Oryzias latipes: one gene and its partner. The protein of the gene in region 2 interacts with the protein of the main gene of each other region in a biochemical or structural test. Links are inferred from orthologs where the notes say so. Each region holds a gene or a part of one and is shown on either strand. Other genes may lie near its edges.

What was found.
Region 1: the proteins of T-cell acute lymphocytic leukemia protein 1 (region 2) and lmo2 form a complex in vitro, tested with the Homo sapiens proteins (2 studies listed by BioGRID). The link is inferred for Oryzias latipes from reciprocal best matches to the Homo sapiens genes TAL1 and LMO2.

The regions. Positions count from the first base shown.
Region 1 is NC_019864.2:14,855,433-14,859,822, reverse strand, and holds lmo2 (rhombotin-2), read left to right. Parts: upstream 1-1,335; 5' UTR 1,336-1,801; coding exon 1,802-1,842; intron 1,843-3,164; coding exon 3,165-3,380; intron 3,381-3,558; coding exon 3,559-3,784; 3' UTR 3,785-4,217; downstream 4,218-4,390. UniProt on the Homo sapiens protein: Acts with TAL1/SCL to regulate red blood cell development. Also acts with LDB1 to maintain erythroid precursors in an immature state.
Region 2 is NC_019875.2:24,187,915-24,192,396, reverse strand, and holds the start of T-cell acute lymphocytic leukemia protein 1, read right to left. Parts: upstream 3,016-4,482; 5' UTR 2,859-3,015; intron 1,877-2,858; 5' UTR 1,757-1,876; coding exon 1,221-1,756; intron 929-1,220; coding exon 810-928; intron 11-809; coding exon 1-10. UniProt on the Homo sapiens protein: Implicated in the genesis of hemopoietic malignancies. It may play an important role in hemopoietic differentiation. Serves as a positive regulator of erythroid differentiation.

The DNA of each region.
Region 1 (4,390 bases), on a different chromosome or scaffold from region 2:
CATACATTATCTCACCCATCAGGGACAGAGAGGCAACAGTCAATTGAACTGATCCATTTAAAACTTTAAGAAACCTCATGTTTTAGTCTCCGTTAGTCTGTTAAATTAGTTTAGCAGTGATGTTTTTCTGTGGACTCACATGTTTGCTTATATGTTTTTCAACAGTTCCTAGGAAAGCTAAATGTCAAATGCTTTGACATTTGTCAAATGCTCTTAGTCTTTCACAACCTCTTGTAGTGAAAGAGATCAAGTTAATAGTAGTAATAAAAAGTTAGCTTTTTCTGGGGTGTTTTTTTTTGTGTGTCTCTTTCGGGGTCACGGGGCTGCCGGAGCCTATCCCGGCCACTTGTGGGCAAAGGCAGGGGACATCTTTATATGCGCTGGCCTTTATTAAATAAATAAATATAAATAAATATAAATATAAATCCTGGACAGGTCGCCAGTCAGTTGCAGGGCCTCAATCACACACTCACACCTAGGGGCAATTTAGAGTAACCAATGAAATGTTTATGATGTGGGAGGAAGCCGGAGTCCGGAGAGAAAACCCACGCATGCATGGGAAAAACATGCAAACTCCACACAGAAAGGTCCCCCATTGGTGTTCTGTTTCAGGTCCCCCAGCCGGGACTTGAACTGGGGGCCCTTCTTGCTGCAACCAAGAGCACTAACCACTGTTCCCCCCCAAAAGGGTAGTTACAGTTCTGATAAATTTATTTTCATCTTTATGTTACCCTCACTTAATCAAAAATATAATATAGTAAAGTAACTCAGATGGTCTGGCAATTGTTTTTTCTTTAATGTCATAACCAGGGCTCTGTAGATCAGCTTCTCTGCAGCAAGATCTTGTTCTCCTGTTTTTCCAATTCTGTACAGTAATGATGCCACATTTATTTAACACAACATTAACCGAATAGGGGATAATTCCGATAAAGCAAAAAATAAAGTTCAGAAAAAATATGGTTTTGAGATAAAATATGACACATGTAAACATCTGATTCTATATAGCAAATTACACCTTTAATCCACATTTTATACTAAATTGAATGAAAATATATTATGAATTGTCACCCCCCCCCCCCCCCATTTCACACATTATATATTAAACATTTTAATAAACAGTTCAAACTGTTTGTTGGGTTTTTTCACTATTTACTTTCTATTGAACTGTTTTTCGTTTTGGATCCAGCTCTCTGTTCTGTCCTAATAACTTTCTCTACATGATGATGGAGCTGCGGGCCAGGACACTTGTCTGCTGACATCACGACGTTGGTTATCTTTGCTCCATCAGCGCCTCAGGGGGAGAGAATTTCCCCTCACGTCAGTGTCGGTCACGACTCCGCTCCACGCCTGACAGAGCAGCCGGCGCGAACTTCTGTCGCTTTAAGACCGATTTCCCCCCATTGTCAGGCAGTCGTGAACAGGAAAAAGAGCAGTCAGTCACAGAATGGGGTGGGGGGTCATCCGCACGTTTAAGGCAGCTCCAGTCTAACCCCCCCTGGCCTGTGAGCGAATCCGCGGTGTCCTGGATGGCGTGGAGGTGCCAGCGCGCGCGTCAGCCCCAGGAAATGATGACAGCGTCCTCCATCGCCGCTCTGCTGACTAGAACAATCGGCCTTTTTGGTTATTCCTCCGCGAACATCTCGACTGAAGTCATCTTCCTGAATCAGGTCGTGCAGGGGGGATCTGGGCGCCGGTAGAGGCAGGTGCAGCGGCTGCGCAGGAGCTTCCCGGGACGCCGCAGAGAGACTAGAGGCTGTGGAGTCCGAACCCCGGAGCTGAGGCGCAGCGCATCTGGAGAAGAATGGTATCCACCATAGAGAGGAAGACGCTGGAGGCCAGCGAGTATGTGCTTTCCTTTTCCAAAGAATGAAGCTCAGGGTTCCTTAAGGCTTTCAAGGACATTGTCATCACAATTTAGAAAGCAACCAAACGGCACGTTATTTTAGGAAAGCAACCTCTGCAGTTAGATTCCACAAACAGAAGGTCTGGAATATGCAAAAGGCTTAGTAAAAAAACTAATCTTCAGGAAAAAACACACTAGACAGCAGTACAATTAACTATGCAGAACGTTAGTTTTACTTAAGAAATCTTATAGCAAAAAACATAATAAAATAAAATCTTGAAACAAGAAGTTCCACAGTAGCATTCTAAAAGGGGGAAAAATGGGTTAAAAAATCTAACTATTAGAGAGAATTACTGAAAACTGATTGTTTTAAAGCCCAATAAGTATTTTTTGTCATAGTTTGAGGCAAATGGTTTGTATTTTTTTTAAACTAATTGCAGTTCATCTTAATTGCAGTGCCAAAAAAACGAGTGTAATAAATGGAAATGACTTATTTTAGAACAAAATGTGAACAAAACCAGAATACGATCTAGCACATTTACTTAGAACATAAATCTAAATGTTTGTTTTGAAATTTAATGACAATAAATGGCAGTCTACATTTAATAAACTAAAAAATAACATCCTAACTGAACCATAAAACACAACAATTTCAGTGCATTTGAGTCATATATTAAGTTTTTATTCTGTTAAGATTTGGAGCAAAATGATTTTGACTCAATTTATTAATAATTTCCTTATTTCTACATACTAGTTCCTAATGAGACATAGGAATGTTTTCCACTGTACAGATTTTAAGAAAATCTTGGAAAGGTGTAGAGCAAAAGACAAATAAAAACAATTTCCAACCAGTTAAAATATCTTGAAAGTCTAAAACCAAGGTTTACAATCAAGTATCTATAAGTATCCCATAGTTTGTAGTGTGAGAAAGGGGAGCAAACAATCTTGTAACAGTACAAAAAAACAAATTGTATTGTATACACTTTCCAAATGTATTAATTTAGTATTTTAATCTGAAATATGCTCCTTCTCCAACCTTGCAGCTCCAAGCTACAAGACAAAAACATAAATAGTAGCATAAACCTTTGCAAATCAGTTGATAAAGATAGAATTTATCGGGGCACTAATAATGACATTTTATAGAATATGTTACTTTCAAAAGAAAATTGTATCAATTGGATAAAATGTGTTTGTTTTTTTTGAGCTAAGAGGAAAATCAAATTAAATTACAATAAATGAAGACTATGATCGATCTTCAGGGAATTCATAGATGATGAAAGTTCAATCCAGTTGTTTTTAATCTTCTTTTCATTTATATCAGGGAGCCGGTGGACGAAGTCCTGCAAATGCCCCCCTCCCTGCTGACATGTGGAGGTTGTCAGCAGAACATCGGGGACAGGTTCTTCCTGAAAGCCATCGAGCAATACTGGCACGAGGACTGCCTGAGCTGCGACCTGTGCGGCTGTCGTCTCGGAGAGGTGGGCCGTCGCCTCTACTACAAGTTGGGAAGAAAACTATGTCGACGGGATTATCTGAGGTTGGTCTGATGTCAATGATTATCTGTTTATTCCCTTATTTGAACAATTTATAAGAAGTATGCAGATCTAATGGGATATTAGGGGAGCACTGTCTTTTATTCTGGTGAGTCAGTTGAATGGAGATGCTGGAATGTCTTCTTGTAACATTGTCTTCCTTATCGATCATGCTCCACTCAGGCTGTTTGGTCAGGACGGTCTGTGTGCTTCCTGTGAAAAGAGGATCCGGGCGTTTGAGATGACTATGCGTGTGCGAGACAAGGTCTACCATCTGGAGTGTTTCAAATGCGCCGCCTGCCAGAAGCACTTCTGTGTGGGTGATCGCTACCTTCTCATCAACTCGGACATTGTCTGTGAGCAGGACATCTTCGAGTGGACTAAGCTCAACAACAGCAATATGGTGTAGCAGAATCTCTGACTGCTTTTCAGGATGGGATGGAACAAACCAATATCGCGTGGGCTCTGAACAGAATCCCTTTTTGCAGCCCGTATGGGTTTTATCGACCAACACATCGGGACTACAATGAACACAATGTAGTGTTGCACCATCCTGTGGAAATAACAACACCAGCAATACGAAAATATTCCCAAATGCAAAAAACGTTTTAAGTACGAAAAATTCTTAAATATGCAAAGAATAGTTTTGAACTTTGTAGAAAAAACAAAACAAACTTTGTTTTAAGGTTGTAAGTTGTTTTTGTCAGGCCTTCATATCTACAAGTGGATTCAAAACTTTAATTAGAAACTGGGTTGTAATTTCTATATGTTTTTCTTTGAACTCATTCATGGCTAAAAGGAATTTTGTTGAATCGTTTTAAGTAAATTTAACCAAACACTGATTGTGGGATCATTTATTGGCTTTTTTGCTGCACTGCAGTTTTTTTTTTGCTTGTGCATATCATTAGTATGTAAATGTCTGAATGACTCAAAGTGAAAGTTGCCATTCAAGTTGAATCTGTGGACTGAAAACAGTTTTCAGTCCACAGATTCAGTCTGTGCTGCCCTCTAGTGG
Region 2 (4,482 bases):
GGCTGGCCGGCTAGAAGAGGCGGAATAAGGGAAAAGAAAATTGAGACATGGAGTGAACACATAGAAAAGAATACAAAACAACCAGCAGAGCTGGAACAGAAAATGTGGTTTGCCAAAGAGGTCAAGCATCACAAGTGCAAAAAAGGAATGAAGAATTAGCTGCAAATCCAAAACAAATGCCCAACTTTGAGAAAAACTGCAAAGTTAGTCCTCCATTAAAGTATTTTTTTTTCTTTTTCTTGCCAAAAGTCTGTGCAAAACTTTTTAAAAGGGATGGGAAAAACGTTCATGTTGCCAAACCACATTTGATAGGGGGTGTCCACTCACTCAGTAGTTTCTGCACCCTACCTTTTATTTAGACATAATGAAATGATTCACTGCAGGTAGTCACATCCTCCCACCTCCAACAATGATGTCTTCTGGGCTATTGTTGCCCTTGGAACACACCCAGTCTATCTTAATCCCTCAGCCCACTCTGCAGTAAAACCTTGGCATGGAAGCAGCAGCATCCCCATTCTCCTCCCCTACATGGCTGCGAGTGGGCAGCAGTGGAAACGTTATTTCTGAAATAAACCCCAAATCTTCCAGAGAAGAGCTTACTTTAATTGCATGCAGGTACATTTGGCATTAGCAGCAGCTAATTTGAGTCATGATTTATTTTGTTCATTTTTTTGGTTGACTTTTTTTTGGGTGAGGCATCTTCTGCAACACAGCAGGTCCATGTCAGTGGATGGATGAAGATGGAGATGGGGAAGGGAAATTTAGGAACTATACTGGCAGAAGGAGGACACAGCAGAAGTGCATCTTACCATACTTATAAAGATCTAAAATGCGCCTACCCTCGTCGAGTTCAACCTCATAAGGCGCCGGGCGGCGCTTTACCCTGTTGCTGGGGTACATGCTGTACTGCTCCGACTCCCCTCCAAGACTATAACAACAACAAAATACAAAAGCATTATAAAAAAAAAAAACATACATTTCATCATTCATTATATTGTAACCAACTCTTAAGGTTGCAACCTGTTCACAAGTTGAAGCTTTAGAGAGCAAGGTGACTTAATACTTTAAATAAAACTCAAGTGCACCACTTTTTTTGCAGAATTTAATACTTCTGCAATGCACAATGGAGCCACAATATTTTTCATGCTGAACACCGACAGTAAAGATGCTTGTGCTTTCATAAAATCATTAGTTTTTTCTCTTCCTGCCTGCAGCTTTACCTGTTGATGGCTGCAAGAGGCTGTGCCAGGTTGTAGAGCATCGCCCGCGCCGGGACAGGAAACGCGTTTGGGCTCAGTTGGACCATTCGAGCGTCGTCTCGTTGCGGCGGAGGGAGCGGCAGCGGTGGAGGTCTGCGAAGTTCTGTGATCGGCACCAAATGGCTTTCAGTCCTCGGCTCTAGCACTTTTATAGCCTCCCTCCTGGAGAGCTCGATCACCGGCACTTCCCTTTTCAGGTCAAGGGCGTTGTGAGAGGCAGTTTCCTTGGCAACGCCGTTGATGATAATGCTGGTCCCGTTGCTCGAGTTCTGCAGAGGAACGTCATCCGTCTCCTCAGCGCCTTTGAAGCTCCCTCCCCTCTCCTCATCGTCTTCCTCCTCCTCTCCCTCTTCTTCTCTCTCCTCCTCTCTCTGAGGCTCTTCGTCCTCCTTGTATCCGTTTTGTCTGGAGATGATGGCGGAATCCTCCCACTTTCCAGGACCGGAGCCCGCATCGGGACTTCCAGGACAAAGCTCCTGCTGCCGTTTTTCCATCATTTTTAATCGTTCAAGTCCGCCCTGCAGTCCTTCATTTAATTCTCAACAATTATTTCATTATCAAAAGATGATTTGAGGCGTCCGTGTCAAATATTAGCATCATTCAGTGTCCTTACAGACCTATCGAAAGAAAGAGATCGTCACCACCAGACTTTCATTTATATCGTGCGGTTAATTACGAGTCTATAATTAATCAAATGAACATGATTGTTAATCGACGATGTGCTGCTGCTTTCAGTTCTTATTTAAAGAGTTGCACTGCTAAAGTTAAAATCCAAATCATTTCTCTGGGTTTGGTTCTTTGGAACATATAAAAAATGGAACAGTTTAAAAGCTGGGCCCATCACGTTTAACAGTTTCGGAAAAGCTTTGAACGTTTTTACCACAAAATGGAGACATATTTTAAATGTGACATTTTAGTTTACATATAAAAACATTTTTAAATAAAACGTAGATTACCTCAGTTTCTATCGCTTTATATACTTGTGTAAATGTAACTATATATTTAATGTTTAAATAACATTTAAAGTTAATGAATTCAAATCGAAATTCGTTGTGTTTTGCTGGGAACAAAGATATAAAACCTCCTCGTAGAGACAGTTTGGAGAGCAAAACCACACGGTGAGCTGAGTAACGAGTGGTGCCTGTCAAAGTAAAACTATTCTTTCGTTTTTAATCCAAAGAAATCCCTAGAAGAACCTATAGAACCCGGGTGGATTGGGTTTTTACGCGCAAAATGAGAAAACTGCTGCGTCCATTTGGTTAGAATAAGAAGGCCAGTGTTGCTTATGTTAACAGGGTCATCGCTGCACTACACACCGGCGTCAGGTGTTCGAGTGAAATATTCGATTAAATGTAACAGAAACGCGTTTAAGACCGCAGATGGATGGTTTTTCGTCGAAAAAAGCGCACTCCTTTTCCCCGTGAATGCATACGCAGGCCGCGCATCCGTTATCCAGGACATTCTCACACGATCGCACAAAAAACCGAAGGAAATGTCATCAAATTTCTTCCATGATATCCCTAATAAGTGTCCGACAGCAGCTGGATTTTAGCGTTAAAAGACGACGGTTCCAACAAAGCGCATATTTCTCGGACTTACCGCTCCAGACGCGTTGTTGATGTTACTGTGTAAGTGGAGCCATTTTGTGAGTGGGTCATCCATGTCTGAGGTTTTTTTCCACCAGTTTAGGAGCAGTGTGTGAGCAGGGTGTGTGAGAGATTGTGTGTGTATGGGCGTGCGCGCCTTTCTGAGTTATTCCTCGCCGCATCCAGTGCGCTCCCTCTGCATGGGGAGCGGAACACAGGCCGCAATGTGGCCGAGTGAGATAAGCGCACGGCAGCGGCCTCTTCATTACCGATAAGCCCCTAAACCCATTATTTATGAAATGATTCATTATTATTTGGCTGTCGTGGGCTATATAGTCTTGTGGAGGGCAAGGCATTTAAAAAAGCAAACAGGCACAGAGCAACGGCCTGTAACAAGAGGCAGTGGACTGCATACTGTAGGGCTGAGATACTAAAGTCGGCTCTTTTTTTTATAAAATAAACAAAATATTGCAGCTTTTGAACAATATATACTCAAATCATATGTTTTTTCCCTTTTTCTTATTTTACAATTAACTATACAAAAAAGTCTTTTTTTTCTTGTCTGTTTCTTTCGTATGTCATCAATCCACGCTCGTCTATTAATGCTTAACTATTTTAAACCATGATGCGCAATGATATATACGTCTCCCGATTTAATTAATCATCATATCCTGACTGGAAGAAAGAAATAAAATATCATCTTCTGTGTCAGAGGCGTTGTTGCAGCTCCGGGGACGTTGGCCTCCATGCAGAGTCATGGCTCCTGGAGATAAAAAATAACTTCGCTCGGCCCCTGGAGACATCAGATAAAGGAGCGGAGCATCAACCGACACACTATCGGGACACACGCGGGACGGCCCTAATCTGAACATGGACATTCTAATAACGGATTTTATACACCAATTTTCTCCTGTTTATTCAATTCAGATAGATAGATAGATAGATAGATAGATAGATAGATAGATAGATAGATAGATAGATAGATAGATAGATAGATAGATAGATAGATAGATAGATAGATAGATAGATAGATAGATAGATAGATAGATAGATAGATAGATAGATAGATAGATAGATAGATAGATAGATAGATAGATAGATAGATAGATAGTTTGCTCTCAGTCACGACAGCAGTCACGATCTTTCTCCTACATCCTGCGTTTTTAACCACTTGGCGTGAGCTCTAACTTTTTGCAGCTGCCACTCGTCCCTTCTTTGCAACATTCGCACATGAGCAATCAAACAAATGTGGCCAACAGATATATGCGGCAATCAATATAAAAACATACAATGCAAAAACGGAATCTTATGAAACCCTTGTTTCAAGAAAAAATGTCTTATTTACGTTTAAAAAATAATCTTATCAAGAAAGTTTTTGAAAAGCACAATAATCTTAGTTCAGAAAACACTTTTTAGTAACTGGAATTTTTTTCTTAAAATACCATTCATATTTTGGTAAGAGTATTTTCTTTACTCTATTGGCAGATTATGTTGCTTATTTAGACAACATTTTACCAATTGTAAGAATTTTTGACCCAGTGTAGTTCTAATTCTTGACATTTCATTTAATATAAATGAAGCTCGATAACTTTGTGGGCATAAATGTGCATCAGACTTGTTTTTTTATTTGTTGTTTT